4 linked regions of the Elephas maximus indicus genome follow. The protein of the gene in region 3 interacts with the protein of the main gene of each other region in a pairwise test. Links are inferred from orthologs where the notes say so. Each region holds a gene or a part of one and is shown on either strand. Other genes may lie near its edges.

Evidence for each region.
Region 1: the proteins of EHHADH (region 3) and FUNDC1 interact in binary tests that used the Homo sapiens proteins (3 or more experiments, as listed by UniProt). The two-hybrid records come from large-scale screens. The link is inferred for Elephas maximus indicus from reciprocal best matches to the Homo sapiens genes EHHADH and FUNDC1.
Region 2: the proteins of EHHADH (region 3) and CAT interact in a two-hybrid assay, tested with the Homo sapiens proteins (2 studies listed by BioGRID, with this or other methods). The link is inferred for Elephas maximus indicus from reciprocal best matches to the Homo sapiens genes EHHADH and CAT.
Region 4: the proteins of EHHADH (region 3) and TPP2 interact in binary tests that used the Homo sapiens proteins (3 or more experiments, as listed by UniProt). The two-hybrid records come from large-scale screens. The link is inferred for Elephas maximus indicus from reciprocal best matches to the Homo sapiens genes EHHADH and TPP2.

The regions. Positions count from the first base shown.
Region 1 is NC_064846.1:128,603,437-128,610,985, reverse strand, and holds the start of FUNDC1 (FUN14 domain-containing protein 1), read right to left. Parts: upstream 3,015-7,549; 5' UTR 2,870-3,014; coding exon 2,842-2,869; intron 2,214-2,841; coding exon 2,057-2,213; intron 1-2,056. UniProt on the Homo sapiens protein: Integral mitochondrial outer-membrane protein that mediates the formation of mitochondria-associated endoplasmic reticulum membranes (MAMs).
Region 2 is NC_064825.1:89,648,040-89,655,532, reverse strand, and holds the start of CAT (catalase), read right to left. Parts: upstream 3,017-7,493; 5' UTR 2,998-3,016; coding exon 2,932-2,997; intron 1-2,931. UniProt on the Homo sapiens protein: Catalyzes the degradation of hydrogen peroxide (H(2)O(2)) generated by peroxisomal oxidases to water and oxygen, thereby protecting cells from the toxic effects of hydrogen peroxide.
Region 3 is NC_064819.1:29,836,550-29,844,478, reverse strand, and holds the start of EHHADH (peroxisomal bifunctional enzyme), read right to left. Parts: upstream 3,004-7,929; 5' UTR 2,946-3,003; coding exon 2,872-2,945; intron 1-2,871. UniProt on the Homo sapiens protein: Peroxisomal trifunctional enzyme possessing 2-enoyl-CoA hydratase, 3-hydroxyacyl-CoA dehydrogenase, and delta 3, delta 2-enoyl-CoA isomerase activities. Catalyzes two of the four reactions of the long chain fatty acids peroxisomal beta-oxidation pathway.
Region 4 is NC_064841.1:67,545,411-67,552,917, reverse strand, and holds the start of TPP2 (tripeptidyl-peptidase 2), read right to left. Parts: upstream 3,002-7,507; 5' UTR 2,911-3,001; coding exon 2,746-2,910; intron 1-2,745. UniProt on the Homo sapiens protein: Cytosolic tripeptidyl-peptidase that releases N-terminal tripeptides from polypeptides and is a component of the proteolytic cascade acting downstream of the 26S proteasome in the ubiquitin-proteasome pathway.

The sequences.
Region 1 (7,549 bases), on a different chromosome or scaffold from region 3:
CATCATTACCTTGCTAATGGATCAGGCATCTATTACCTTGCTTCCAGACCACTCTAACTGGTCTTCCCCTGAGCTCCAGTCTCTCCTAGCAACCACCCATCTTGATGTCAGTTTTATTTTCACTATGCTCCAAAACCTATAGCTACCTACAGCTAAATATAATCTCTTTAGCCTCCCATACATGTCCTGAATTGGTCTGAATTGTTAACTGGTTAGTGCTTATTAACCTTTCCTCTTTAATGTATGACACAAATTATTACATCAGTTTCACTCCCTTAGAAAATTGCAAAAATTTGCTACACTGAATCTATAGTCATTGCAACAAATCATTGTATAATATTAGAGTCCTACTGCACACAGCTCCTGGGCTACCACCTGGCTATAACTCAAATGTATGTATTACTATAAAAAACATATCCCTCAGTAAGGGGGGGCAGCATCAAATGCTCAGAAAAGGAAGAGGAAGAAGCAAACAGCAGCCAGGTCTCCGGTGTCAACGATATCCTGGACAGCATGCTCCACAACCATGTGTATGATGGCATCAGCTGCTAAAATGAACCTACTAACTCCCCCTGCTCTGTCTCTAGGCTCTCCAAGCAAACATCTGCCAATTATGAGGCCTACAAATAGTGATTTGATAATTCTGTTTCTCAATTATTTCTTAGCCTCTTTTTTTAAGATTGGACATTAGGCCCTGACTCACTTTAACCAGTCATCTATGGCACCAAATTGTGAGCTTATATAAAGAGAGGACCAGACCCTAAATTAGGGGATCAAAGTACAACCAGCCTGTGGAGAATTGTTTGAATGACCAAGGCCACGAACAGACATCTCTCTTCTAACTGTGGGCTTTTTTTCATACAGCCGCATTAACAAATACACTTAATAAATACTGCACCTTTCCATTACAGAATCTTCCCATAAAATGGCATTTTTAAAAAGGCATGGAGGAGTGTGCCACTGTTCAAAGTGCATGAAAAACACAAATCAAAAAAAAAGTTATACTTACCAAGTATATTTAAATTAATGCAAGATAAATTTAACTTAGAATCTAAGAAAAAAGCCATTATTTGTAAGTACCCTCACTACAAAAATTCTCTACAGTCATGTACATTTTCAAAATAAAGTGTCAGACTTGTTTCTAATCCATGTTACTTGGCCAATCTTTTATTCCAGGAATAACCAAAGTAGATCCATAGCAGCAATTACGTAATCATGTGGTCCGAAATTGTTAACTGATTAGGCTAATGCCTATTAACTGCTCCCCCTTAACGTACTTCACAATATTAGAAGGGAAGCAGCCAGCCCTTTAATTCCAACACAGAACCACCATTCTACAGCTCCTCTTCAAAGCACTGGTATAATCAGAACCAGCCCACAAAAATGAACAGAACCATCTGTATCATCATCAACCATTCTTAATGAGGATTTTACACAGCTCCCTATAGCACTGACAATCCGGGAGACCAGTTCTACTGTGTGAGTTTCTCACAGGTTGTTCCAGTTGTTACCACTGGGTGACATGTAAAAATTATTTACACATGCCAAACCAAACACCAAACCGTTGCCGTTGAGTCGATTCTGACTCATAGTGACCCTACAGGACAGAGCAGAACTGCTCCACAGGGTTTCCAAGGAGTGGCTGGATTCGAACTGCTGACCTTTTGTTTAGCAGCCTGAACACCTGACCACTGTGCCACCAGGGCTCCATTTACATAAAGTTAACTCTTAAATATTTTTTTCTATTTACTCACTATTACGGAGTCAGATCCACTACATATGCTGAACTTCAGAAAGAGGAATCTATATTAAAAAAATCAAAGGAAGGATGAGGAGGGAATAGTGGTACCCTGGCAGGCATGACGGAGGGGAATTATCAAAACCAACACTGAGTCTGAGCGTAGATTACACCAATCATATCAGAGAAAAGCTTCAAAACTGTGCTATTTTAGGATTAACAGTGTAAACCCACTCAATATGTATTGAGTCTGGCCCACCTACAAAAGGGCAGAGGCCAGGCTCCTAATGAATTTAATGAAAAAGATGTTCTTCTCACCAGCCAGTCACTCCACCCATTACAATCTGAGTGGCTACTGAGTATTTTTCTACCATAGGTCCCGAACTGTGGCCAAACACTCGATTCCACCAGTGGTGTCTTCTTGCGTACTCGGTTAAATCCAACACTTCGTAAGACTCGTCATCACTTTCATACTCTTCAAAATACAAAAACAGAAAAAAATTAATTTAGAGTCAATCTAAAGTCATAAATGTTCCTTCATTTTTTTTTTAATGTTACAATTCACTGTTACTTTTGGCCTACAGGTAAAAACGTCCAGGCGGAAACTGATGAGTGTTATTAGGACTTCAAGAGTAAAAGGGGCTAGAAATAATATGCCCATCTCCTTCCTAAAGGCCCAAGGACCAGCCAGGGGCACGAAGCCAGTCAGATCAGAGTTACACAGCAGTGAGGGGCCACCTACCCAAATCTCAGTAGGGTAAGGAGCAGAGAAAGGTCCATTTTCAGTGAGAAGAGGGGGGTTCTCCTCTCAAAGAATCGGTCAGGAGCCGGAGAGAAGAAATCACTCCAGAGTCAGACTAAAAAACCGTTTGAAGATGAGGGGCCGGGGTTGAAAAGACAGACAAGGGGTGGGGCTACTTTGGGGGCGAGGGTCGCTCTCCCCCAGCGCTCCACCAAGAGGGGAGGACGAAGTCTAGCTCAGAGGGGGTATTAAACGGGCGGCCTCAAAGAAAAAACAGAGCCCCAGAGACCCTGGGGAAGGGGAAGGTAAAGCCGCCCCCGGAGCAAGGTCAGGAGCTGTGAGCCGCGCCCGGACCGCTCACCTTGGGGAGGGGGGTTCCGGGTCGCCATGATTCCGCTGGGGGCCTGTTGAGGGTGGTCCCCGCCCACCCTCCTCTCTTTTACACTTTGAGGGCCGCTCTAGGCCGGTGCGAAAGTCTATGCTCTCTTTCTTCCTCCTCCTTCTCTTCAGGCGCCACGTCCAGTCCCCGCCCCCTCCCCCTCCAGCGCGGGGCCTCCTGCGCAAGCGCAAGTCTCACGGGTCGGGAGGGGAGGGCAGCGAGCAGCCCCCGCGAGGACTTGTGGAAATTGTAGTCCGTTGACGTCTGCACCACTGGCCTCGCCTTCCCACCTCCACCCCTCCGGAATTTCCTTAACCCTAGTTTTGTTTTAAAGAGCCTCAGTGTTTGGGGTGGCGGGGTGGGGAGGTAGGAAGGTCTCTCGTGGTTTAGAGCGCAAAACCAGCTGGGCATTTGAACACTACCAGAATTCAAGCCATTGGGGAAAAGGGCTTTTATAAAGAGATAACAGAAGCCCTGTTTGAAACCACACTTTTCTAAGGAGGCAAGAGCTCACCAACCGATTGAAATTATTTCTAACGTGCTATTGCGGAGAATTGGAACCTTTTTATCCATTTTCTCTGCACGTGTTCCTTGCCAGGCGCTCAAGGGAGGCAGCAGAAGGGCTAGGAAGTGGCCTGACACCAGTTACTCAAGAGGACATAACTTTGTATCATTATGATTTTTTATTATTTAAATCTAACAGGAATGAGGGTCAAGTTTCTTTACCCAGAAGCCCCAAGTGATTCTGTAGAATGAAGAACCACGTTGATCACCAAGCAGCTAACTCAAGTTCACAAATATACCAGCCCCCAAACTTCTTTTGAACTTGCATTACATCCGCATTTGCTGTACGATTAAATGAGGCCCCTCAATATTAGTTTTAATGAAAAATCAAGGAATCCTGATGTAGATTGAATTACTTAAAATATTGACTTGCATAATTGAGCTTGGCTCAATTTCAAATCCTGGCCCTTTAAATGCAAAAGTTAGTTCTGTAATGATCCTAAGCCTGTGGCCTCCAAAATGCAATTCTAAGGCTGTCCGGAGTGGGTGTTCCAAACTCAAAGGCCGGTTTCTTTGTGTAAGACTCCACTTTTCAGAAACAAAGATTTTAGGGGGCATAACTCCACATCTTCTCACTGAAGTGTTTTTCCAAAAGTTACTGATTTTGAGTTCATACGCTCCTTCCTCGCCATTATCCACCCATTCCTGTTAAGGTACTAACAGAGAAATAGCCAAATAATGGGCTACTAAAAGAAGAGTTGGGTGGGTTAAAAGAAGAGAATGGAGAAAAAAGGGAAAGGAGTATCATAAATTGGAAGAGCAAAATGGAGGGTTGACTGAGCCAATGACATCCAAGTGACACTTTCACAATATCTGCCAACTGCAGAAAGAAGTCACTTTCATGTCAAGGAAATGACTTTTAGAGTCAAATGGCTATGGAGAAATAAGGGAGATAATAGAAACAAAATGCTGCTCTTAGGATGCCAAAGAATAAACCTTAAATGTATCCAAAAGTGAATTAAAAATCAATCATTTCTGCAAAGACCTTGATGGCTGAAAAGAAAATTTTTAATATGTTCTTCCCTTCCATCTTTAGTGATACGCCTTTGCCATTGCATTAAGGAAGTTAGTTGTACAGGTAGTCCCCAACTTAAGATGTATTCCAGTTACCACTAATTGCACTTCTGACAGTCCTTTTTTTTTTGTACATCTTATTCTTAGTAATATGTGCTGATGATATCATTCTCAGATGTTCACTCTAAGATGTTCAATTTTATGATTAACTCTTCAAAACACTGCTGTATAGATTTAGTTTTCTAAACTAAATCAGGGGTTTGGGTTGCTTGAAAACATGGACCCAAACGCTGATCACTTTGCTAGAGTCAATAGGCAGATTCAGGAAGCAGTGAGATGTTACCAGGAAATATATGAAGAAAAAAAGAAAAGGACCATACAGACAACTCTTACTAATTTTCTGATTAGAAACACTATCCCAATTCCCAGGGATAATTCAGAAGACACAGAACTTTCCAAAAGTGGAGTTATTACCGCAACTGACAAAATGCCAACATCGTCCAACTCTTCTTCATCTTTGGAGAAAATTTTTATGATTTGTGTATTTTTTATGTATGTGTGTATTAAAATATATCTGTAAGTTTATATGTAATGTTTCCAACCCCCAGAGACAAAGACTGGATTTTTAAAGATACTGATAATAAAAGGCAATAATAATGAAAATTTCAAAAAAAAATGAAGTATTTGACTTACGTCAGAACTGACTCGTGTCAGAACAGAACCCTGTTGTAAATCAAGGACCACCTTATAATGTATTTTTCTAGTGTGGATTTTCTCTTTCCCAACAGCAAAAAAGCTGTCATTTTGTTGTCTGAATGAAGAGTGGTTTAATGTGTACCTAAATTATATACACAGACTTTCCGAAGTGCTGTGATCAACCTGATGTTCTCTAGGGGGTGATGTGTGTTTTTTTTTTTTTTATAATTCCCATTTTATTTATTTATTTATTATTAATTTCCATTTTAAATAGTGTAAATAATTTTTCTTTTCAGTCAACACTAATAAACATTTTCATTATGAGCACTGGTATCATCTACAACTCTACCAAAACATAATTCAGACAGTCCCCAACTTTCCAATGGATAGAGTCCCAAAAGTTTATGAATAACTATTTGAAATTGAGAACATTTACTATTTCATCCATAACGAATCTTTAAAGAAGCTGTTGTCCCCTATTCCATCCTGAGCTTCACCTTTCCTTAACTTCTCATTCCTTGGAAACCTCACTTGTTAAAAACTGTTTAGTCAGAATGGAGAAAAGCAAAAAGTTGCAGAACAAACAGAAGAACACTTCACACTCCCTGAGCAATCTCATGTCCCCCATTGGCTACAACTGTTATTCCCTATTAGATGTCCACATTTCAATGACCTGCAAATTCAAACAACTTCACTCTATCTTTGAAGCTCCCCAAAGGAGAAAAATTAGTCACCTCCTTTTCCCCTCCCTTTTCTCCCACAGTTACACAGTCACTTATCCTATGCTTGCACCACCAAAACTGTGACATCCTTTCTCTCCCTGATGGTCAGCCCACCCGTTGGACCACTGCAATGGCCTCTCAATTGGCTCCTTCCTCCTTTTCTTGCTTCTCCCCACCCCACCCCAATCCAGTCTACTCTTCATCAGAATTTTTCTTCTAAAACCTGCATCTGATCTTGTTCTTTCTCTTCTTGAATACTTGTAAAAGTTGCCCATTGGTTACAACATTAAGCCTAAACTTCTTATGACATACTGCAGAAGTCGGCAAACTACTTCTGTAAAGAGTCGGATAGTAAATATATTTTAGGCTCTGCTGGCCACATAATGGTGTTTGTGGTATAGTCTTCTTTTTCTTTTGTAAACAGTCTTTTAAACCAGGGCTTCGAACCAGTTCAGTCATGGCCAATGAAGCAAAACCGAAACAGAACCAAATTTTTAAAAATCTGGGTGATCCGTAATCATAACCAGAATGGGAAAAATTTTGGATCGAAGCCCTGGAATGGGAGACTCGGAAGAGGTGTAGTGAGCCCTTTCAGGAGCCTGATGTGTGAGATTGGGTTATTGCCAGGACCGAGAAGAGCGACACACATTCAAAGCAGTGAGGTAGGCCACCATCTTTGATTGGGGTACCACTGTTTCCAACTCCGCGCAAAATCCAATAGGCAAGAGATTTGGTTGTTATGCAATGTGTATGCTGCCCTTGTTTTCCAAGAGGGAGATTAACTTTCTAGTAGGGTTTCAACTTGTAATTTTCCCAGCTCCTGTTACGGTTCTGGTTCACTCGAATTTTAAAAAATTTAGGTCTGTTCCAGTGTCATTTCCTCAGTCATGATTGAACCAGGAAGAACCTGTTCAAAGCCCTGCTTTAAACGTGTAAAAACTATTCTTAGCTCATGGGCTAATTTGGCCTGCACATCCTAGTCTACTGACCACTGGCATATAGGACCCTCCACATTTTGGACCCGAGTTACCTCTCTGGCCTCCCAATGCAGCTTGCTCCAAATTTCCTCCTTTTCTAGGTCCACTGAAGAACTAAGTTTTCTGAATACACTTTGCTTTTTCCAACTTCCCTGACTTGGTGCATGCTCTTTCCTCCACCTGAAAGTAATAGCTTCCTTCTCTACTAGGCAAATACTCAAACACCCTTTAAGACACATCTTAAAAGTAACTTCCATACAGTTTTTCTCTACTTCCCCCAAAGACCTCCCTCTCATTATCATCCTTAGTTGAATTTAAAGAAGGCAGTTTGCATTTCAATTAAGCATTTGGATGAACTTTCAGGTCAGCCAGACCTGAGTTCAAATTCCAGCTCTGTCCTTTTGCAGTGCAGTGAATTACTTAATAAGGCCCTTCTAGCCCATAGTCTTTGTAACTTCCACCAAATGACAGGATAAGACTATGCAAATGAGGTGCTTGTAGCCTACCAAGGGGATTCATAGCTGGCTAATAATATAAATGGGTGCACGGCATTCTTGTGGGGGTGGGACCATGTAAATAAGGTGTATGGAACACTGAAAAGGGAATTGGTCAGTTTTGCCATCCCACGAGGCTTAAAGGGAGACATGGGGAGAGAGGGGGGAGCTGTATCATGGAAGACAGTGAGAGACGGCAGCACAGCTGTAGCAAGAGTGATAG
Region 2 (7,493 bases), on a different chromosome or scaffold from region 3:
TTTCACGGCAACTTTATTCATAATAGCCAAAAACAGGATCTAGCCCAGATGTCCAGTAAGAGGATAAACAAATGGTGATACACTCATGCCAAAGAATGAAACTCATCAATAAAAGAAAAAACTGCTGATACATGCAATAACATGAATGAATCATAAAAACATTTTTGTTGAAAGAAGCCTTATTAAAAAAGTATATAAATTAATGTTTAAAAGAAAAAATCAAAACAATGGTTTCTTGGGGTAAGGTTGCAGGGAATGACTGGGAAACACCATAAGAGAACTTCCTAGGGTGCTGATTTTGCTCTACTTCTCGACAGGGGTTTCGGATTCATAGGTGTATGTATCTGTCAAAACTCATAGAATGGCCGGAACAACCAGAACACAATTAATGAGAATGCTGACACATTGTGGAAAATGTAAATAGTGTCACTCAACAGCTTGTACCGAAAATTATCACATGGAACCTAATCTGCTGTGTAAACTTTCATCAAAAACACAGTATTATTTTTTAAAAAAATCATATAATGATAAATTTAAGATCTGTGCATTTCATTGTATGTAAATATTATCTAAAAAATGTTAAACTCTGTTAATAATACTATGCGTAGTGTTTAAGGGTGATGTATACTGGTGTCCACAATTAACTCTGAAATGTAACCCAAAAATAAATAAAATGGATTAATGGATACATGAAGGGATGGACAGATGGAATAACATGTGATAAAACACACAGCTAAGTGGTAACTGTAGAATCTAGATGGTAGATATATGGGTAGTCATTGCAGAATTCTTTCGACTTTTCTGAAAGTTTGAAATTTTTCATAATAAAGCATTGAAAATTATACAGACTGTATGACATATGCAAAACCCCCTTTGGAGGGTCCTGGGGGATGACCTAAAAGAGGTGAGCAGTTACCAGTCACAGTAGCTAAAACTGAGGAACGATGAGACATCAATGTGACTATGAATCAAGACCAATGTGCATAGGGCACTGACATGCCGTGGGCAGAGGCAACAGCAGGAATTTCAACTGAGTCCCGCCCACACCCCCCAAATCATAAAGGCAGATGCTTCAAATTATAGATTTTGCCTCATAAGTCAATTCTTTCTCATGTGGGCCACTATGTACAATAAATTAACAGCAGAAAAGAAATTAAGAAACCAGTTGCCATCGAGTCAATTCTGACTCATAATGACCCCATGTTTGCCAGAGTAGAACTGTGCTCCATAGGGTTTTCAAGGCTGTGACCTTACGGAAACAGATTGCCAGGCCTTTTCTTCCAAGGCCTGGCCCACCAGTCTTTCTGTTAGCAGTCCTGAGCTTAATCATGCAGGGACTCCAGTAGAGTCTTAATGATTTAACAACAGATAATGATTCTCCCGTATCCCTGGTGGTGCAGTGGTTAAGAGCTTGGCTGCTAACCAAACGGTCAGCAGTTCAAATTCACCAGCCACTACTTGGAAGCCCTATGAGGCAGTTCTACTCTGTCCGATAGGGTCACTATGAGTCGGAATCAATTCCATGGCAACAAGTTTGGTTTAATGATTCTCCCAATCAATGAAGAGGCAAGCTAGTCTCAGAATAATGGGGAATCCTTTTAAATAAATAAATTTTATCTTATGAAAAACTCGCTACATTGTCCATGTTTTTCTCAATTCATCAAGTATTCATAAAAACATCAGTATGAACCACTGAGTATGGAAAGGAAACCCTGATTGCCTAGTGGTTAAGAGCTATGGCTGCTGACCAAAAGGTCGGCAGTGCCAATCCACCAGGTGCTTCTTGGGAACTCTATGGTGCAGTTCTACTCTGCCCTATAGGGTCGCAATGAGTCAGAATCAACTCAACGGCAATGGGTTTGGTTTTTTTGGTCTGAGTATGTAAAGGGTCCTGGCCCCCAAGAAGCTGAGTTCTAATCTTGACTCTGCCATTAACTGCTGTGTATCCTTGATTAAGACACTGCATCTCTCTGGTTCGCTTTGATTAAAAGCTGCATGACAAACTGAAATATCCTAGAAAAAAAAAAATCCTAGAGGCATATAGAAAAGGACAGGCAAGCAAGGAGAGGTTTTCAAGGACCTTAGAGAAGAATGGCAGTACTCTCAAAGAGAACCATTAAAGCAATTGATGAGCACTGTAGCATTAATACCCAGTGCACAAGCACAAGCACTACTAGTCACTGGAAGGAGCGGTGGTGTCACACTGGTAAACCGCTTGGCTGCTAACCGATAGATCGGTGGTTGAAACCCACACTCCACGGGAGAAGGATGCCCGAAGTTTGCTTCTGACAGCCTTGGAAACCCCATGGGGCAGTTCTATTCTGTCCTACAGGGTCGCTATGAGTCGGAATGAACTTGACGATAATGGGTAGGAGTCCCTGGGTAGCACAAAAGCTTAAGCGCTCGACTACTACTGGAAAAGTTGGCTGTTTGAACCCACGCAGTGGCACCAGGTGGATTCGAACTGCCTACCTTTTGGATGGCAGCCGAACTCTTAACCACTACGCCTCCAGGGTTTCGGAGAAAGCTTTGGGAAGGTGGAAGTTGGAGCTTCCCACTACTCTTTCCCACCAGTCTCTCACCCCACACTTCCTTTCTTGCAGCTGCAGCCCTCTATCTCTTTCCCCCGGGGCCTTCTTTCCTCCCTCAAGCTGTGACCTCTGTCCCAGTTGGCAACCGTGCAAAACCCGCCGCCAATTGCCGAAGGCAAAAGCTGAGGGTTTGCAAGCATTATTGGGAGCCCGCTTGCCCTTGCCCCAGCACCCTCTCCCCAGCTCCCCCGCCAATGTAACAGCCCATCTGGACAAACACTGCCCGGCTCCCCTCCCCCGGTCCCGTGACCAATGGTACGGCCCTCCCGGGCGCCTCTGCACGGTGGAAGCTGGGGCCCTTATTCGCAGACCCTCAACTTTGGTGAGGCACGGGGTTTACCTGCGTGGAACGCTCCTCCTTCCAGCGCTTCATCTGGTCGCTGGCTGGGTCCCGGCTGTCCGCCATGGTGTCCGAGTTGGGTTGCAGAACCTTGCAGGCTGCCTCAGGTCAGACGTCTTCACCCTAAACAGGCGAATGTGACAACACACCGCAGGCCCTGCCAGTCAGCACCGCCCCTCGTCGGAAAGGCTGCCTCCTGATTGGACAGTCAGTGCTAGACGGCATACGATTGGATGGCCGGTAGGGGCGAGTGTGAGCGTGGGGGGTCGAAGAGGAAGGCTGGCTGGGCAAGGAAGGCGAGGACCTGAGCACTGGGAGACACTGGGCAAGGGGGTGAAGTAGACAAGGAAGGGGAGGCCCGCCACTCCCGAGCACGGCCCTAAGAGCGGAGCCCCAGACCTCCGGGATTACCGAACCAGGGAGCGGCCCCGCGGCCTGGGACCTGACACTCGCCCCTGGTTATCAGCATCCTCCAGGGTGCCTTTGGAGGGACGCTGCAGTTGGTGGCCTGCCAGTTTTGCTGAGGTAATGCTTAGACCCTGCAGGGTGAGGCTTTGGACTCGGCAATTATGCCTTCAGTTTTTAAAAATCATAAAGCCTGGATTGAATTCATCTGCGCAGAATTAAGTTTGTCATACCTGAAATGTTGATGGGATTTGGAATAAATGCAAAGAGTGATTCCACAATTCAATATAACCAGTAATCTTAAGCTCAAATTTACATTTTTTATTCTTTATTAGGCCATCAAGTCGATTTCTACCCATGGGGACCCCAAGTGTTATAGAGTAGAACTGCTCCGTAGGGTTTTCCAGGCTGTGACTTTGAAACAGATGGGCAGGCCTCTCTTCCCAGGTGCCTCTGGGTGGGTAAAACCAACAATGTTTAGGCTAGTAGCCAAGCACTTAACTGTTTGCACCACCCAGGGACTCCATATGTATAGAAAAACATGCCTTTTTAAAACATACAGAAAAAATGAAACATTGACAAGTTCTTGATAATCTTAATAGTCTAAAATCCATAGTAAGCAAGTTCAGCATTTTTAGGCACCCTTTTGGCTTAGCAGTCCCCTTTTTTTGAGTGTCAGTTATGTGCTAGATAGTTCCCAGGCTGTATAATTTAATCCTCACCACTCCATGATGAAAGTTTTGTTATCCCTTATTTTAAAGATGAAGAATCTGAATATTAAGAGAGGTGGAGGAACTTAAAATCTAGCTAAATGTCAGAGCCTGGATCTCTGGTCTTCTGATTTCAAAGTCTGGGTCCTATACCACTATCAATCCAGCCCTTCTAAGAGGAATAACCTATTCGAAATTGAGGAAGACACCTTCTGTGCAACGGATTTTATGTTCCTGGCTACATGATATGTTGACACTGTCTTGGAACCATTTTATTATTAAGTAGATAGCACAAATATCCTTATCACTGCCTCTGACTTTTACCTTATCCCGGAGCCTCACCCTATCACTGGTCCTTAGAGGTTGAGAATATGCTGGGAATGGACTGAGGGAGGCTTCAGAATGGGTTGGGTCAGTGATATTGGATTACATATATATTCTCATAATAAAATAGCAGTGTATTTTGCATCTTGCCATGAATGAGTATCAAAGCATCTTATGTGGGATACATGTACATGATTCCTAAAATTTATTTTTGCTCCCAAGCTAAACCCTGTCTCTGTTGCGTGTTTCACCTTTCCCACTGTCCTGGTCACTGCAATCCCTCCAGATGTTTGAATGCTAAATCTTCCCTTTCATTTACTTTCCAGTAACAAGGACACAATTTCTCTAGCCTTTCTATCTCTACCCATATTATTTTAGCTTAGGAGAGGTTAGGACATGGTAATTATGTTCCCCTTCTGATTCCTCCACTTCCTAGCTGTGTGACCTTGGGTAAATTACTTAGCCTCTCTGTACCTCAGTTTCTCTTTATATAAAATTGAGGTAATAACAATACCTCACGGAGTGTCGTGAATATTAATTAGAATATATATGGGTTTTACACCTGGCACATAAAAAGTAATATAGTTATACAAGAGTATGACTATCATTGTCTGAGGTGAACATCTCCTACCTGCTATTCTACTTCTCAGCCCACATGGTTTTTTTCTCTCTGTTTCACCTCTTTATATTCTGCATCGAAACCCCTACTCTTCTAAAGAGTTCCCTGACATCCTTTTTCAGTGAACCCTGTGGAACCCTGAATCCGTTTTAAAAGCCTTTTTCCTGTTGCATTTTTATCTTACACATTTTTTTTCCTCTGTCAACTCTTATTCATGAACTGTCTTCACTCATGAGGCTAGTATTTAATATAAAAACACTCTGCAATTTTATCAGTACAGATGGGTATTGATTTCCTGCTTCACCAGAGAAAAACAACTTAGAGGGTGAGCATGTGACTGGAAAAATATATTCGACTCTGCATATTATGTCAAATTGACTTCTTTAAAAACTGCGGTAATAAATTTCAGCCCCCAAATAAATAAGATTTTGAAAAATCTGTCCTTTAAAAAGCCATGTTAAAAAGTAAAATATTTAATAAAATATGTAGTAAATTACTCATCAGTTTATTGTAGTAAACAAACAGATTGAATGATCCCCCCCATGCTAGAATTTATCTTTAAAAACCTTGATATCTATAAATGTATCATCATCTTCAAATTAAAAGTTCTCAGCTTTTGAGGTTTGAGGTTTTCAGTAAAACTATGTATAATGGATGGATATAGGGTAGTGGAAATTTCAGATGTTCTAAAGTCATCAGAGTTTAACTTTGGCAGTTCATTGGGAAAACAGCCCACACATTCCTCTTTAACATCCTGTGTTTTTCCTTCAGGACACATAACACAATTATAAAGATGCCATTAGCTGTGTGATTTGTTTGATGCCTTTCAATACCTACCCCATCCACACGACCACTAGACTGTGTTTGATTTGTTTGCAACTGTACTATTCCACACCTAGAAATTACTGAGCACTTAGTATCATCAGGGACTGTTATAAACCCTTTGTGTGTATTTACGTAGTTAATCCTTCCAGCAACCCTGTTAGTTAGGTAATGTTTTTGTCCTCATTTCACAGAACAGGAAAATGAGGTGTGGAGAGGTTAAATTAAGAGATAATGCCAGGATTCTAGCCCTGTCGGATCATCTCCAGAGCCCGTGATTTGTTGAGTGAATGTTGAAAGAACAAAACAAATTATTTTCTTCACTAAAGTAAGTATCACTGGAGTAAATAAAGAGATCTAAAGTCATGTGTTGACCTTTGTTCTTTATATAAACCTTGTTTTGTGGTTTTTTTGCTATTTCTGTTGCTGTTTGTCTTAGTTATCTAGTGCTGCTGAAACAGAAATGCCACAACTGGATGGCTTTAACAAACCAACGTTTATTCTGTTACAGTTTAGGAGGCTGGAAGTTCAAATTCAGGGCACCAGCTCCAGGGGAAGCCTTTCTCTGTTGGTTCTGGGGGGAAGGCTTTGTCATCAGTCTTCCCCTGGTCTAGGAGCTTCTCAGCTCAGGGACCTTGGGTTCAAAGGATGCATGCACTCTTGGCTCTTCTTGCTTGATGGTAATGAGGTCCCTCTCTGAGATTCTTTCTTTTATATCTCAAAAGAGATGGACTCAAAGTACAGCTAATCCTGTAGATTACATCCTGCCTCATTAACATAACTGCCTCTAATCCTGCCTCAGTAACATCATAGGGAATTTACAACACATAGGATAAATATATCAGATCCCAAAATGGAGGACTACCACACAATACTGGGAATCATGACCTATCCATGAAGAAACACATTTTGGGGGATACAGTTCAATCCATAACACTGTTGGTTTGAATTTCTAAGGACTTGTTTCAGGTGAAAAAGAAATGAAGAAACAAGACTAGTTTGGGATCCTATCTTGTGTATTAAATTAAGGTGTGTGCTTACAAGTAACAGCAATGAATTTATATTGGCTACGTAAAAAAAAAAAAAAATTTTTTTTTTTTTACATAAGTAGAATTCTATTCATTGACTCTCTAACTATAATTATAGTTTAAATGAAAACACTTTTGAAAACCAGCCCTAGTCTAAAAATACTTGAAACCAAATCTATTTGATTCCTAAAGATAATTCCAAGTGATTTGTTCAGTAAACAAATTTAGTCCCAGGTATTCATACTTTATACATGTAAGCACATGAGTATTTTTGTTGGTATTGCAAAATTCTTATTTAGAAAATGCTGTGCTTTGTTCAGAACCCAGCAAGATAAAATGTACCAGCATAAAACAAAATGTTATTAATCCTGATATCACCAAATCTGAAACCAAACTTACAAAGTAAACCGTATAGTAAGTGTTCAAGAGAGAAGCTTGATCATTCAGCTAGGATCTTTAAAGACAAATTGTCTTTCATCTGTAATTAGAGGAAAAGAATAGAGTGGATGAACTATATGTCTTTTGTTGCATTACAAGTATACAAAGCACCACAAGGAGTAACAGAAACCAATATAATTATTCATTTATGTTCTGATTCCCCCCACCATTTGAGAGGCTGAGAGTGTTATACATATTTCAATTTAATTTTCTTAA
Region 3 (7,929 bases):
AAAACTAAAATGGCTGTAACTGATACAGCTTTATTGAATTCAAGCCAGCTGGAAGGGACCACAGCCTTGCAGCAATGTAAAGATCCCCAGGGTGAAGGACTCATTTTCTTCCCTCGATCCTGTCAGGTGAAATGGAGTCTGGAGTCACGTGTGCTGTGACCAAAACCCTTTAGCTTCTGTGACCACAGGAGGTCTTTTTTAGATAGTATTTTGTCTTGCTTTTAAACTGAAGGTCACCACATCGAGTCTGTGGCCTGTGACTGGCACTGAAAAAAGAGAGAAAATAGACTAAACTATATCAAACTGTATAATATGGAAGGGTTAGTTTTGTTTCCAGAAACTTTGGTTTTAGCCATGTATTTGTATGTATGCATGGCCTGGGTTGTAATGTAAAACTTGGGTTACTATGCGGGTCAGTCAAAAAAGTGTGCAAGCCATTGCTCTGTGAGACAGTGGTTAAGAGCTATGGCTGCTCCACCAGACTGAGTCCAGTACAACTAGATGGTGCCTGGCTACCACCACTGACTGCTCCGACAGGAACCACAAGAGAGGGTCCCCGACAGAGCTGGAGAAAAATGTAGAACAAAATTCCAACTCAAAAAGAAAAGCCAGACTTGCTGGCCTGACATAGACTGGAGAAACCCTGAGAGTATGGCCCCCGGACACCTTTTCAGCTCAGTAATGCTGCGGTCACTCCCGAGGTTCGTCCTTCAGCCAAAAGATTGGACAGGCCCATGGAACAAAACAAGACTAAAGGGGCGCACCAGCCCTGGGGCAGGAACTAGAAGGCAGGAGGAACAGAAAAGCTGGTAACAGGGAACCCAGGGCTCAGAAGGGAGAGTGTTGACATGTTGTGGGGCTGTTAACCAATGTCATACAACAATGTGTGTACTAATTGTTTGATGAGAAATTAGTTCTATAAACCTTCATCTAAAGTTCAATAAAAAAAGAAAAAGAAAAAGAATGATTGCAATTGGAACAACACCAAAAATAGAGCTACAGCCGCTAAACAAAAGTTGGCAGTTCGAATCCACCAGGCACTCCTTGGAAACTCTATGGGGCAGTTCTGCTTTGTCCTATTGGGTCACTAGGAGCTGGAATTGACTTGATGGGTTTGGTTTTTTTGAGTGTGGTGTGGTTCTCCAGGAGTCCCCGGGTGGTGCAAATGGTTAAAATGTCCAGCTGCTAACTGAAAGGTTGGTTGGAGGCTGGAGTCCACCCAGAGGCATCTCCGAAAAATGGCATAGTGATCTACTTCTGCAAAGTCAGCACAGTTTTACTCTGACACACACAGGGTTGCCGTGAGTCAAAGTCTACTCCACAGTAACTGGTTTGGTTTTTTGCATGGTGCTCTGTTTTCCATCCCCCTGCCAAGGCGTCCTGGGAGCCACATGTTGAGATGGTATCCTCCAAAGATTAAAGTAGCTTGGATTGCTGTGTCACTGCAAGGGGGGCAGCTACCCTGCAAAGTCACCCCAACCAGCCTTTGTAGTGTAAAACCAAAAAAGCCCGTGGCCACAGACTCAGTTCTGACTCATAAGGACCCTACAGGACAGAGCAGAGTTCCCAAGGAGTACCCGGTAGATTCCAACTGCCAACCTTTCGGTTAGCAGCCATAGCTCTTAACCACTATGCCACCAGGGTTTCCCTTGATTGGCACAGTTTCCCATTATGAGCAGAGGTGTGGCAGAGAGTCCTAACGTCTGGTAATTCTAACCAGAACACAGACAAGTCCAAAACTGATACATAATCCTATTACTTGGGGTTTTTTCATCCAAAGCAAGAAACTTGACGTACTGTTCTTTTCAATCAAGCGGACATATTGTCCTTGTGGGAGTGGTTCCTGCGATTTTTTTTTTTTGTATTATTAAATGCAAGCATTCACACTATAATATGAACTATAACAGTAACATTAAAGATGGAATCAAATCTGATAACAGAAGAATAAACAATGCAGTTAAAATTAGCAGGCTTCCTCATTTCAGTCTCTCTTTGCTTCAGTAGTCTACAGTTAAGAATTCTGATCAAAGGCCCTTGTATAACATGATTATTTATGCTAATTTCCTCTAATCCCGCTTCCTGTGGATGGGTGGCTTTTCTTAAGGCTAAAGTGTCACCATACTTTTTTTTTGCAGAGATATGGAAGGACCAAACCTGTACCATAAAGTCATTAATTTTCAAAAAGGCAGCATTACTCTCACTTTTAAAAGTAATTCTGCAAGTGTTCTGCACAAATCTCGGTTAGAGAGTTTAACAAAGAAGTTACCACGTGATGAAATAAAAGGTGATAAACTGCACAGTAGCTTTTCAGAAAATGCCATTTGAGGGTTTATTCTGACATGGACCTTTCACAGAAGCATTAAGGCCCTGTGGTTTGGAGCAGATCAGCTCATGCTCCCTGCCTTCTCATGAACTGGGGCCTTGTGTTGTTGTTAGTTGCCAGTCCAACCCACTCTGACTCAAGGCGACTGTAAACCATTTTATTTTCTGAGTTCTAAAACTCTTAGCTACATGTTTTAAGGGCAGCCTGGATTTCAGGCTGGGGAGTGAGGGTCCAGGGCCCAGGACTGTACTGAACCAAGATCTTTGGAATAGAAACTACTGAAGACCCAAAGCTGTGAGCTAGCAGAAGGGTCTTGCATGAAGTTGGCGTGGACAGAGCCGGTTCGAGTCCCTTTCTCCTACTTAGTAGCTACACCCCTCAGCCTCGGTTTCCTTACCAGTCAAACCGAGATGAGCGTTCTCTGCGAAGAGTCCCCAAACCAACCCCTGTAAAAACGTCCCCGCAGATGCCTGGGGTTCAGTCGGTGTCAGTTTCTGGATTTAAACCAGCACCGAGCGGGGGGCCGGTGAACCTGCCAGGTCTGTTACCTGATGGCGTTGACCGGCGGGTTTCGCAGGCGGATCCGCGCCACGTAGTCCCGCACTCGCGTATACTCGACCATTGCCCCTCTGTCGCCGAGGTCACTTCTGCCTCCGACTGCCGGCCGAAGCCTCTCTCCCCGGGCCGGGCCGCCCTGCGAGGAGGGGCGCCGCTGAGCCAATGAGAGCCGGGCGCCGCCCCCGAGCGCCCGGACCGCCTGCCGGCTGGCCCCGGGCCGGCACCCGGTCTTCCCAGCCCGCCCTCCATTTTCCTGCGGTCCGCGAGGACCCGCGCCGCCCATCCCGGCCCGACTGCACCCGGGCCCGCACCCCATCTTCCCACCCAGCTCGACTGCACCGAGGCCGCACCCCTTCTTCCCTCCTGGCCCGAATGCACCTGGGCCGCACCCTATGTTTCCACCGAGCCCTCTCCATTCCCGGGACCCCACCCTGCGCTCTACAAACACTTGCCATCTCTTCCTCTCTGTGGTTGCCCATCCTGCTCCCATCTTCCTCCCATCACAAAGCAGTCCAAAGGGGGCTGGGGAAAACCGGTGGAATTACAGGGAGTGGAGGTTTGTGACACTCAGAGGGGCTGACTTCGGAGGACAAAGTCTGGGCTCACTAAGCTGGCCAAGCTGTCCTCTGAAGAGTTTTCATGATCCTTCTGAAAGGGGGTAGATATCTGAGGCCCTTGACAATTGTGTGAAATGGCACACACCTGGAACACAAGCATCACAAGTTTGACCTAAGGAGTAGGGTACTAACATCAGCCAAACATTTACCTAAAAATCCTGTTACTAGTCCTAGGTTCACATGGCAATCAGTGAAACCCATGAGTTTGTCTGCCCAATCCTTTGTCTTTTAAAAATTCTGACATTCTGAAGGATTGTGACTTCTAATATTTCACTTATTCAGAAGTTGAACACATACTATAAATGGTTAAGAGCTAGGGCTGCTAACCCAAAGGTCAGCGGTTCCAGTCCACCAGCCCCTCCTTGGATAGTTCTTCTCTGTCCTATAGGGTTGTTATGAGTTGGAATAAACTCAATGACAAAGAGTTTGGTTTTTTTAAGTGTAGGCTGGAGACTGTAAAAATAAACCAGGCTTAGTCCCTTCCCTCCAGAAGTGAGGACCAGGTTTCTCTAAGCATGATTAGCCTCCAGTAGAACCCACCCTCCATGAAGTGATCAGAAGGCAGCCTGAAAGTTTCAGAGGAAAAAAACAGTGGAATAGCTTTGTTCACTGATGTTTCACAAATTTTAACTATGATTAAGGGTTATTTTCATTGCTTTGAACCCTGGTAATAAGTAGCAAAACCCATTCAATAGATCAAGGGCAATTGCCTCAATGAACCCACTTTTGAAAGCCAACCTGTCAATGACAGCCCCTCACTTTCATAGCCAGCCAATCACAAACCATACAATACTCACACTTCCGAGGGCCACCAATCAACAACAGGCTCATTTAAGCAACCAACTTCTACAAGTGATGTCAACCCTAAAAAAAAACCCTAAATGCCTCTGGAAATTCCCCAGTCTCTGAAGTCCATGTTGCCCAAAAGCTGTATGTAAAATCTACAGTCTGTTCTGCTTAGAGAGATTGTACCTAACCAGCATAACGTTCCCCTACTGTGTTGTTGTTTGCAGAAAAGCTGGCCCCAACTCATGGCAACCCCATGCACAATGGTAACAGACCGTTGCGATCCATAGGGTTTTCACTGGCTAATATTCAGGAGCAGATCCCCAGGCCTTTCTTCCTAGCCTTAGTCTGGGAGCTCCACTGAAACCTGTTCAGCATCATAGCAACACACAAGCCTCCACTGACAGAAGGGTGCTGGCTATGCTTGAGAAGCATTGGCTGGGACTCGAACTGGAACCTGGAAGGTGAGAATTCTACCACTGAACCATACTGCCCCCTTTTATTACTAAAAAATTCATTGCTATCAAGTTAATTCTGACTTATAGCAACCCTATAGGGTTTCAAAGGCTGTAAATCTTTACAGAAGCAGACTGCCACATCTTTCTTCTATGAAGCAATTGGTGAGTTTGAACTCTGACCTTTTGGGTAGCAGCAGAGTGCTTAACCATTGTGCCACCAGGGCTCCTTCTATTACTATTACCCATTGCTGTTGAGTCAATTCTAAGTCATAAGTGATCCTACAGGACACAGTAGAACTGCCCCATAGGGTTTCTGAGGAGCAGCTGGTGGATTCGAACCGCTGATCTTTTGGTTATGCAAATCTGTATGCATACTAAAAAGAACAGAGATAACTATCTAATCTTGCTTTTCCCTGCACTGGTGATCTATGAACCTTGAAATGCCGTGTTTGTCATGAAAATTCAGTAGTGGCATGAAGCCATGGAAGCTGACTTCTCTGGTAAACCAGTCAGAAATTTTCTAGAATAAGGACAAGACAATGCTTTCCAGCCTGGGTGATAAAATCTCTTCCATGCTTTCTTCCATGTACTTTCCCATTTCACTCTGGGATATCCACCCACCCACCTGATGCCATGAGTCAATTCTAACTTATAACAACCCTATAGAACAGAGTAGAACTGCCCCATAGGGTTTCCAAGGAACGCCTGGTGGATTCAAACTGCTGACCTCTTGGTTAGCAGTCTGAGCTCTTAACCACTATGCCACCAAGGTTTCTGTCTTAACTAATACACTGAAGAAATGGGCAGTGAGTACAAAATTGTTCTTCCATAGTGAAGTTGGCTGCCATTTGAAGAGGAAAGCTTCTCACATAAGTGTGTGAGATGAGAGATGGGATAAAAATAATTTGTTCACTACACCAGTAATATCAACAATGGTGAGTTCTATAATTTCAAGTGGCTTGCTCAAGTGTTAAACCTTAAACATATGTTATGGATTGAATTGCATTCCCCCAAAATATGTGTCAACTTGGCTAGGGCATGATTCCCAGTATTGTGTGGTTGTCTACCATTTTATGATTTGATGTGATTTTCCTATGTGTTGTAAATCCTATGATGTTAATGAGGCAGGATTAGAGGCAGTCTTGAGTCGATCTCTTTTGAGATATAAAAGAAAGAAGCGAGCAGAGAAGAGAGGGACTTCGTACCACCATGTAAGAAGTGCCAGGAACAGAGTGTGTCCTTTGGACCCAGGGTCCCTGTGCTGAGAGATTCTTAGACCAGGGGAAGATTGATGACAAGGAACTTCCCGCAGAGCTGACAGAGAGAGAAAGCATCCCCCTGGAGTTGGTGCCCTGAATATGGACTTCTAGCCTCCCACACTGTGAGAGAATAAATATCTATTTGTTAAAGCCATCCACTTGTGGTATTTCTGTTGCAGCAGCACTTGATGACTAAGATGGAATTTGGTACCGAGAGTGGGGTGCTGCTCTAACAGATACCTAAAACGTGGAAGTGGTTTTGAAACTGTGAATGGGTAGAGGCTGCAAGAGATCTAAAATGTTTAATAGTAAAAGCCTAGATTGCCTTGAGGAGACTGTTGGTGGAATTATGGACATCAAAGAAAATTCTGGTGAGGACTCAAAAAGAAATGATGAGAGCTGTAACACCAGAGAACTCACAGATGAAGCAGCAGCAGAGAAACAGTGGCAGCACGACCAGGAGACTGGCACGAAACAGCACTGGAGCCAACCCATTCAGTCTGGATTCCTGACCGACTACAATGAGCAGACCCTCTCTGCAGACCCACAGTAGTCTTGTAGCAAGAGCAAGAAATTAATCCAAGTTTTTTTTTTTTTAATTTTTATTGTACTTTAAGTGAAAGTTTACAAATCAAGTCAGTCTCTCACACAAAAACTTATATACAGGGGGCCAAGATGGCTGACTAGGTAGACGCTACCTCAGATCCCTCTTGCAACAAAGACTCGGAAAAACAAGTGAATTGATCACATATATGACAATCTACGAACCCTGACCAACAAACACAGATTTAAAGAGTTGACCTGAGTGACAGAGACTGAGAACGAACAACCACGAGGAAGCAGCGACTGTTTTCGGAGCCTGAAGCCAGCGTCCCAGTCAGGAAACCTTGGCCCTGGGCTTTGGACCAGGCATAGGGGAGCTGAGCATGGCATCCTGAGATGGCACAATCACGGGGTGCAGCCCTAACCCCCTGAACTGACCTCAGGGGAAGCCCAGCCAGTGCACGCAGGCAGCGCAGCAACATGGCTGACAGGAGGAGAAGTCACCGGGAGGCAGTGACTGTTTTTGGAGCCGGGAGTGCGGCATCCCTGCTGGGGAACCTTGGAGCTGGGCTTCGGACTGGGAGCGGAGGAACTAACCGCAGCTTCTGAGACAGCGCAAGCACGGGACGCGGGCCTGACCCTCAGGGGCAATCTCTACCCAGCCAGCGCACACAGTCAAAAACGCACCCCTCAGGAATCTCAGATAAAACAGTCATCCCAAGCAAGATAAGTAACTTTGTCTATATTCCGGGGTGCTACTCTCTCCTATTTTTCTAAACCCTCCCCTCCCCTTCCCAGGCGGCTTCATTAACATTGTAATTTCCTGAGCCAGAGAGTAAACTGCTCTGCGGTTTTTCTTTCTTTCATTTTGTTTTTGTCTTTTCCTAACCCATTCTCCTGGCCTGAGAAAAGCAACTACAAAAAACCCAGGGACCAAAAATCCTTCCCTAATTGGACTAAAAACACAGAACCAGCTCCAGCCAAGCATATGTGATCCACAGGGCTTTCATCCCTACAGGGAACAAGGCAGCTATTATAATGCAAAGGAATTTCTGATAGGGATCTCACTGTAATTGTTTTAGCGGATTTACTGGAAAGACAAGTTTCCCAGGTCTGATATCTCTGCATATTCAACAGAGCCCTCACTGACCCACAACAGGGAACTGAGGGCTGAAGCTCCCCCCAGACAACTTAGCCTCCTGCCTTAGGGGTCTAAGGAGGGTGACACCTACCAGTCTGTAGAGGTACTTGCATTGGGGGCCTAAGGTACAGCTGCAGAGCCAACCCACCAAGGTGCTTTAGGAATAGAGACACGCCTACCTTACTGACACTTGGGGGAAGCCTGTCAGCATCCTGCCCCCCCGGAGTGTGAACCCCAGCTGCTA
Region 4 (7,507 bases), on a different chromosome or scaffold from region 3:
TTTGATTTAAACAAGGGTATAATACTAAGCTTTTTTTTTTTTTTTTAAAGGAAAATAACTCCAGCAATGTGAAAGATGGTTCAAAGAGAAGAAAGACTGGTGGCAGGGAGACCAGCTGGATATTTCATACATATTTCTAAATCCAGTCCAAGACCCACCTAGTCCTGATTATCCAGCTCTCAATGGCCCCCTCCTTTTCAACCTCCAAAACAACCACAGGTTGCAGGACTAATCATTTAACACAACGTTAGGCACCTCAAAGGTGCCTGAATATCTGCTGAGGAAGTATTTAATTATTTATGTAACTATTGCTTCCTCACACCATCTACCTTCCACTTTCCACATGTCCAGTCAGCTGTCACAAAACAGAACTGGGTCCAAGACAGTCACCAAACAAGGAGACACCTCACCGTGTCCCTGGAAGTTTTCACTTGTGCCTCCCTCCACTCCTGCACTCATACCCCATGTCTTTCCAAATGTCCACTTCAGCCTCCTCTTACTCCTATTTCATTCCTTCCCTCCTTATTTCTATCCGTCTTATCTTAATGATGTATACAGAAACCTACAAAATAAATCTGTTATAAGTAAAGAATCTTAAAAATTTACCTATTTACAAGCCACCTTACTGAATTTCTTTTCATTGGCCATGTTTAAGGTCAGGATCTAAAAGTTAAAGTTCTTCGAACACTTATGTTTTCCTTTGATTTAAATATTGCTCAAGCGTTTATGTTAATATATGCAAATACACATTTAACCTTTGGATAATGGATGATTAAAGATCCAGTACAAACTCCTAGTAAACATCACTGCTTAAAAAATTAGTTTAACGTTTTTCTTGAGCACTTAAAGAAGTCACATATAATTAATCCTCCCTTAAAATTAATTTTCATAGCAAATCTGTAGGGTGAGAATTATTGTTACTTTACCAGGCCTAACAGAATAACTCGATAAGCAGATCTGGGAAATTTTACCAAGAAATTTCTACTACGACAGTACTTCTCTAAACTTCTCAGGTCCTCTTATTATACTGACAAAGGAACCTGTGAACCACTTACCCAGCTGTTCTCCCACTTATCCCTATAAAAAGTAAACAGACACCACAACAGAATAGAAACTGTTACTACTCGTAATAAAGCTTCAACGAGGTGATAGCTGTCACTGTTTTAAATCGTAAAGAGTTATTAATACAACACAGATACTGTAGTTACAGGAGGGAATTCGTCATCTGCTCCTCTTCTGACTCACCAAAGCTGCCCAGCAGTGCCAACAGGAGTTTGTGGTACTCCAGAGCGCGGCTTGAGAATTACCCTGGGGAAGCAAGGCTCCCAGAGAACTCCTCTACCGAGGTCAGCCTAGCTTCCCTTTTTCGCCAAATTACTTCCGAACCTCCAAAATACTACAGCAATTACCAGAGAGGACAACGAAGGATCCAGAAAGGGAAGGAGGAAGGCACGTTACTGAACTTCAGAGTTTAGCGTAGAAAGAGAGGTGTGTGAGAGATAGAGGAAGAAGATCAACACGCAGGAGGATTAGCCAGGGAAAGCTTTTGGGAGACAGGCCTTGGACAATGGTTAACATTCTGTTCCTTAAAGAAATTTCGGTAAAAGTCTAAGTTCACAAAAATCAAACTTAAAAGACTTGAAGCAGAAATCTCTCAGCCAAGTGATGTATTTTTAAAAATTACCTTTCGCTACGGTACCTTGATCTAAAATACTTAAAAGTTGCCTAAGACAAAATTAAGTGGTAATTAGAAAAATAAATGAAGTACGTCACTTTATGTTTTGACATTAAGAAAATACCGCAGCATAATTTAATAAAGCCTGAAAAGCTGGCTAAAAACAAACTGATTTTATTTGTCTCATGCAAAAACAAAGGCTGAGCCACGGCATTCAACGACCCTAAACAAGCACACTGCAGATGATGGCTTAAAAATAGAAAGCGTAAAAGGAGCAGAGGAAACAATTCCGGAAGTTGACAGAGTTATCTTCTCGGAAACCCGGCTCTCGTGTTTAAAGGCAAACAATTCTTTCCCGAACCGGATCTCTGCAGCCACAGCCACGAAAATTAAGTTCGGAGAGGTCGCCTGTCCCACCTCTGTTTTCTCGTCACCCAACAATAAGGCGTTGAAATGACAGGTTGGGAACTCGCAGGAGCCGGGAGACGCGCAGAGCGAGGCAGGCGGCGGGGGTGGCCGGGCGCCCGAGGCTCCGGCCTGGCGAACGGGCTTCTCGGCGGCGACGCTGGAGCCCGGCTCCCCGGACCTGCCAGGCCGGGCGCGCGGCTTTGTCTGGGCCGAGGACGCGGCCCGCCCGGCTCCGGGCTCCCAGGTCCGGGCTCCGGGCTCCGAGGTCCGGGCTCCGGGCTCCCAGGTCCGGGCTCCGGGCTCCGAGGTCCGGGCTCCCGGCTCTGGGCTCACGAGTTCCGGGCTCCGAGGTCCGGGCTCCGGGCTCAGGAGGTCCGGGCTCCGGGCTCCGGGCTCACGAGTTCCGGGCTCCGGGCCCCGGGCCCCTCGCCCACGCCGCCCCGGGCGCCTCCGGGTCCCCGTGACCGGCGCAGGGCCGCCCCAGGCTGGGACGTGCGCCCGGCTCCTCGTCAGCCTCCGCCTCCTGCCGGGCTCTCGGCGCTGCCGGCCGCGGGGCTGGCTCGGCCGCAGGGCGGGGCTTCGGGCTGCCGGGCGGGACCTCGGGCTGCCGGGCTCCCCCAGGCTGCGTCCGCTCCCGTCCCGGGCCCCGAGGGCTGCCTCACCTGCATGCCGGGGGCTCCGGGGTCGACCCCCGTGTCCAGGACGGCGACGAGCACGCCCCGCCCGTCATAGTCCGGGTAGCGGCAGAGGAAGGAGGCGGCCCCGGTCTCCTTCTTCGGCAGGAGACCGTGGAAAGGGAAGGGCTCCTCGGCGGCGGCGGTGGCCATGGGCGCAGGCTGGAGGGCGAGGAAGAGGCAAACTGCCAGGCTGCGCGCGGAAGAGCAGCGCGAGGACACCCGGGCGGCCGCCGAGACGGAGGCGGGGCGAGGGGCGGGGCCTGCCGCCTTCCGCCAATCCCGTTCCGTCAGGCGGGGTCGCGCGCGACAACCAATGAAAGCACGGAAGCCAGGTCGGCAGGCCAATGAAGCAATGCTACGTCAACCAACAGCGCCGGCCTCAGGCGCTGGTTTGGAGTGTCGCCCAGCTGCAGTGGAAGAGGAGGAGTCTGAGTACGTTTCTTGAGGCTTCAGTTTTCGAACCCGGGCTTTTAAAGAGATCCACACTTTGGGTTGTAGGAAAGGGCAGGCTTCCAAGCAAAAGGGCTTTGAGGTACGCGGAGGGAAAGGGGCAGCCAGCCAGAGGTGGCGGAACCCTTTTGCCCGGCAAGCGCTGGTTTCCAGAGTTGAGGTTGCGGGAGAAACTTTTCGGTGCAAGTGGTTTTCAGGAGCCAGAGCTCCTGGTGTGCTGACCAGAAGGAATGGAACCTCCTCGCGCACCTGTAAGCCCTGGGAGCCTTCGGGTATCGGTGCAATCCCCGAACATGAGTTTTTGAGTTTTCTCTGATTCACTTGTGTAGGTTTTGTTCCTCTGCCTTGTGTGTGCCCCCTGTGAAAGCAGGGGGAGAACCGGGGTGGGGATGGCAATAGTGTCAGTCAACAGGAAGTGGGTTGTTTGCCATCGGTAGACGTACCAGTAACAAAGCACGAGACTGAAGTGGGCTCCTCCTAGCCCCTTGGCTTCCGAGATTTCTGAAAAGCTTTTTTCTTATTTTACGTTCCAACTCATTGCTCCTTAGGGCTATCCACTCACTCTGCATCCCAGCCCCACGAATTATGAAGGCAATTATCGAGCCATAATTTGCAGTCTTCAAGATTCACACTGACAGCCACCAAGTGCTTTCTGCTGCACTAATGGCCCTTTAATGATATTTATGCCTGTGTTCATGCCGGAGTTCTTAGCCCTTTTTTTGTGTGTGTGCCAGAGATGCCTTTGGCAATTTGGTGAGCCCTGGTGGCTCAGTGATTAAGAGCTCGGCTGCTTACCAAAAGGTCAGCAGTTGGAATCCAGCTGCTCCTTGAAACTCTGGGGGGGGAGGGGGGAGGGCGGTTCTGCTCTGTCCTAGGGGTCTCTGTGAGTCGGGATCGGTTTGATGGTAAGGGTTTTTTTTTTTTTTTTTTTAACCGACCCCTCCTCAGAGCAATGTTTTTAAATGCATGAAAAGTATATAGGACTACAAAGGAACTAAATTGCGTTCACATAACTTGGTTATGTAGTAATAGTGTGTGTTCATAGTTATATGTGTACTTTTTGCATTACATAAAAAGAGCTAGCAGCAAGCCTAATAAACTACCATAATTTTAAAGTAGTGAAGAGCATAAATGATATTTTCACACATCTAGAACAGCTGTAATGAGATAACAAACTGATTTGGTGACAGAGTAACAGCGACTGCTAGTTTTTACCTACATCCAGAATCGAAGGAAATGCGAAATTAAAAACCAGACCCTTTGCGTAGAAGTCATTCTGACTCATGGCAATTCCACGTGAGTTTCAGAGTAAAGCTGCACTTCATAGGGTTTTCAATGCCTGTAATCTTATGGAGGGAGTCCCCGGGTGTGGCACACCCACTAAGCCCTGGGCTGCTAACCTTTGGTTGGCAGTTCCAATGCACTCAGAGGCGTGTAGGAAGATAGGCCTGGTGATCTACTGCCTAATGATAGATCACCACCACTGACAATCCTGTGCAGAGCAATTCTACTCTGACATACATGGGATCGTCATGAGTCAGAAGCAGGGAATTGACTCTGGCAACTGGTTTGGTCTTTTTGGTTTACATTACAGAAGTAGATTGCCAGTCTTTTCCTACACAGAGCTGGTGGGTGGATTTGGGTAGATCTCTGGGCCTTTCTTCCTCAGAGCTGGTGGGTGGATTTGGGTAGATCTCTGGGCCTTTCTTCCCCAGAGCAGCTGGGTGGATTTCAATGGTCAAACTTTTGGTTAGTAGCTGAGAGCAAGCTCCGCTCAGGTACTTTAAAAATTTAATTAACAGATGAGTGAAAATAAAGACATTTTTTTCTACACAAGTTTTTGGACCCGTTGAATTCTGTCCATAGATCTCAGATTAATAATGCGTGGTGTAAACATAAGCCCGCTGTATACCAGTTTTCTCTCCACAGGATTTATAAGAGCCTCCATAAAGTCTCAAAAATCACTCTAGTGGCCATGCAAGGGTTTTCAATTAATTACTTGATTGTTCATTCCTTAGTGTTAGAAAAGCATTTTCTCTTTAGTGGCGAGCAAAAGTAAAAAAAGTTAAATGTTTTCTTTTCTACTCCCGACTGTGTTTATGTTACCTGCAGGGAAAAAACTTCCAAGTACTTTAACAAGAAGGAAAAGATAATGACAAACGCCCTCAGTGCATTCTTATATAGAGCTTATATGACACAATGGAATAGCTCCCAGTTTCCAATGAACCCAAGTCCAATCACTTCGTTTTACAGGTATGGAAACAAAGCCAGACAGGTTCACTGGTTGCCATGGGTTACAAAACATGTTACTGAAAAAGCTAGATTTCTGATCTCATAATCTGTCCAGAATATTCTATAATACCACACACACTGTACTGTGCTCACCTGCCAGGATTGTCACCCAGTGAATGAATGGGAATGAACTGTTCATTCTCAGACCAAAGAGGCAGACTTATAACTAGACTCCTGTAAGTGTTCTTCAATTTTTTTTATATTTACATACCCCATAAAAATGTGGAAAATCATGTACCATCATGTATTTTTTCTCTTTTTAAGAATTTTATTGTGAAAGTACGCCATCTCAATTTCTACATGTATAATTCAGTGACATTGATTATGTTCTTCAACTTGTGTAACCATTCTCGTTATCCATTTCCAAATCATTCTACCACCATTAACAGAAACTCAGTGCTTCCAAAACAAAAATTCGTCCTTTCCCCCTCTCTTCCACCCCTGGTAACCACTAATAATCATCAGTTTCTATATATTTGCTTATTTCATATAAGTGAGATCATACTGTCAGTATTTGTCCTTTTGTGACTGACCTGTTTCCCTCAGCAGGGTGTTTTCGAGGTTCACCCATGTAACGGTGTGTATCAAGACTTGATTTCTCTTTATGGCTGAGGAGTATTCCGTTGTCTGTATATGCCACATTTTGTTTATCCACTCATCTGTATACGTTTCAGTTGTTCCACCTTTTGGCTCTTGTAGAAAGTGCTACAATGAACGTTGGTGTACAGGTTTCTATTTCCATTCCTGCCTTCACTTCTTCAGGACATATACCTAGGAATGGGATTACTGGGTCACATGGTAATTCAATGGTCAAATTTTTGAGGAATGGCCAATCAGTTTTCCACAGTGGCAGTACCGTTTTACATTCCTACCAGCAATGGCTGAGGATTACAGTTTCTCCACAACCTTGCCAATACCTATTGTTTTCTGGGTTTTTTTGATCATTGCCATTCCAGTAGGAGTGAAGTGGTATTTCGCAGTAGTTTTGATTTGCATCTCTCTAGTTGCTCCAGGGTCACTGTGAGTCAAAACTGACTCCATAGCTGTGGGTTTGATAGTAGCTAATGACACTGATCACCTTTTCATGTGCTTGTTGGCCGTTTGAATATCCACTTCGATGAAATGTTTGCTCAATTCCTTTTCCTGTTTTTTGATTGGGTTATTTGTCTTTTCATAGTTAAGTCGTTGATTTTTTAAAATATATTTTGGATATGAGACCCTTATTGGGTATATGGTTACTGAAAATCTTCTCCCAGTCTGCCCCCCCGCAAAAAAACTATTGAGTCAATTCCGACTGATAGTGACCCGATACGAGTGGCTTTTGGTTAACAGCTGAATGCTTTAACCACTGTGCCACCAGGGCTCCCAGCCTGTAGGGTACTCCCTTTTTAAGAAGACATTTGCAATTTGTCATCATAAGTTTAAGAAATTGTAAAGAATTTCTGGCATAGTAAAATATTGACATTTTTAAAAAACTCATTTAAACGTATCCAGTTTAATGTAACTATCAACAATACCCATAGCTCTTTGATACCCTACCATCTTCTATTTGAAAAACGCTGAACATGTTGCAGTTTAAAATCATCAGACATTTTATATCACTATTTCTGCTTGAAACTTTATTTCCACTCAGTCGCCCACAAAATTTTATTGTAATATAATTTACATTTATGATTGAAAATATTATTGGTAATTTTATCATTTTGTGCAACCAAAAATTTGTATATTAGTGTTTGATTTTAACCTTTTTTCTGAGATCAAAAGTGTTAAAAATTTTGGATTACATTATCCTTTAATTTTTAAAAAGTTGATCAAAACTTATAGAACCAAAAGTAAAAGTTTGTTGAAAATGTAGACTTTAAAGAGATGGTTGAGATTGATTACTGGGTTTTGATTAAAAAAAGTTTTACTGACAGAATTTCAAATCAGCCCTTTATTTGGTTCACAGAGCCTATTATGTCTGTAAGCAGCATACACTGGTAAAATTTAGGTTGACTCAGAGGTA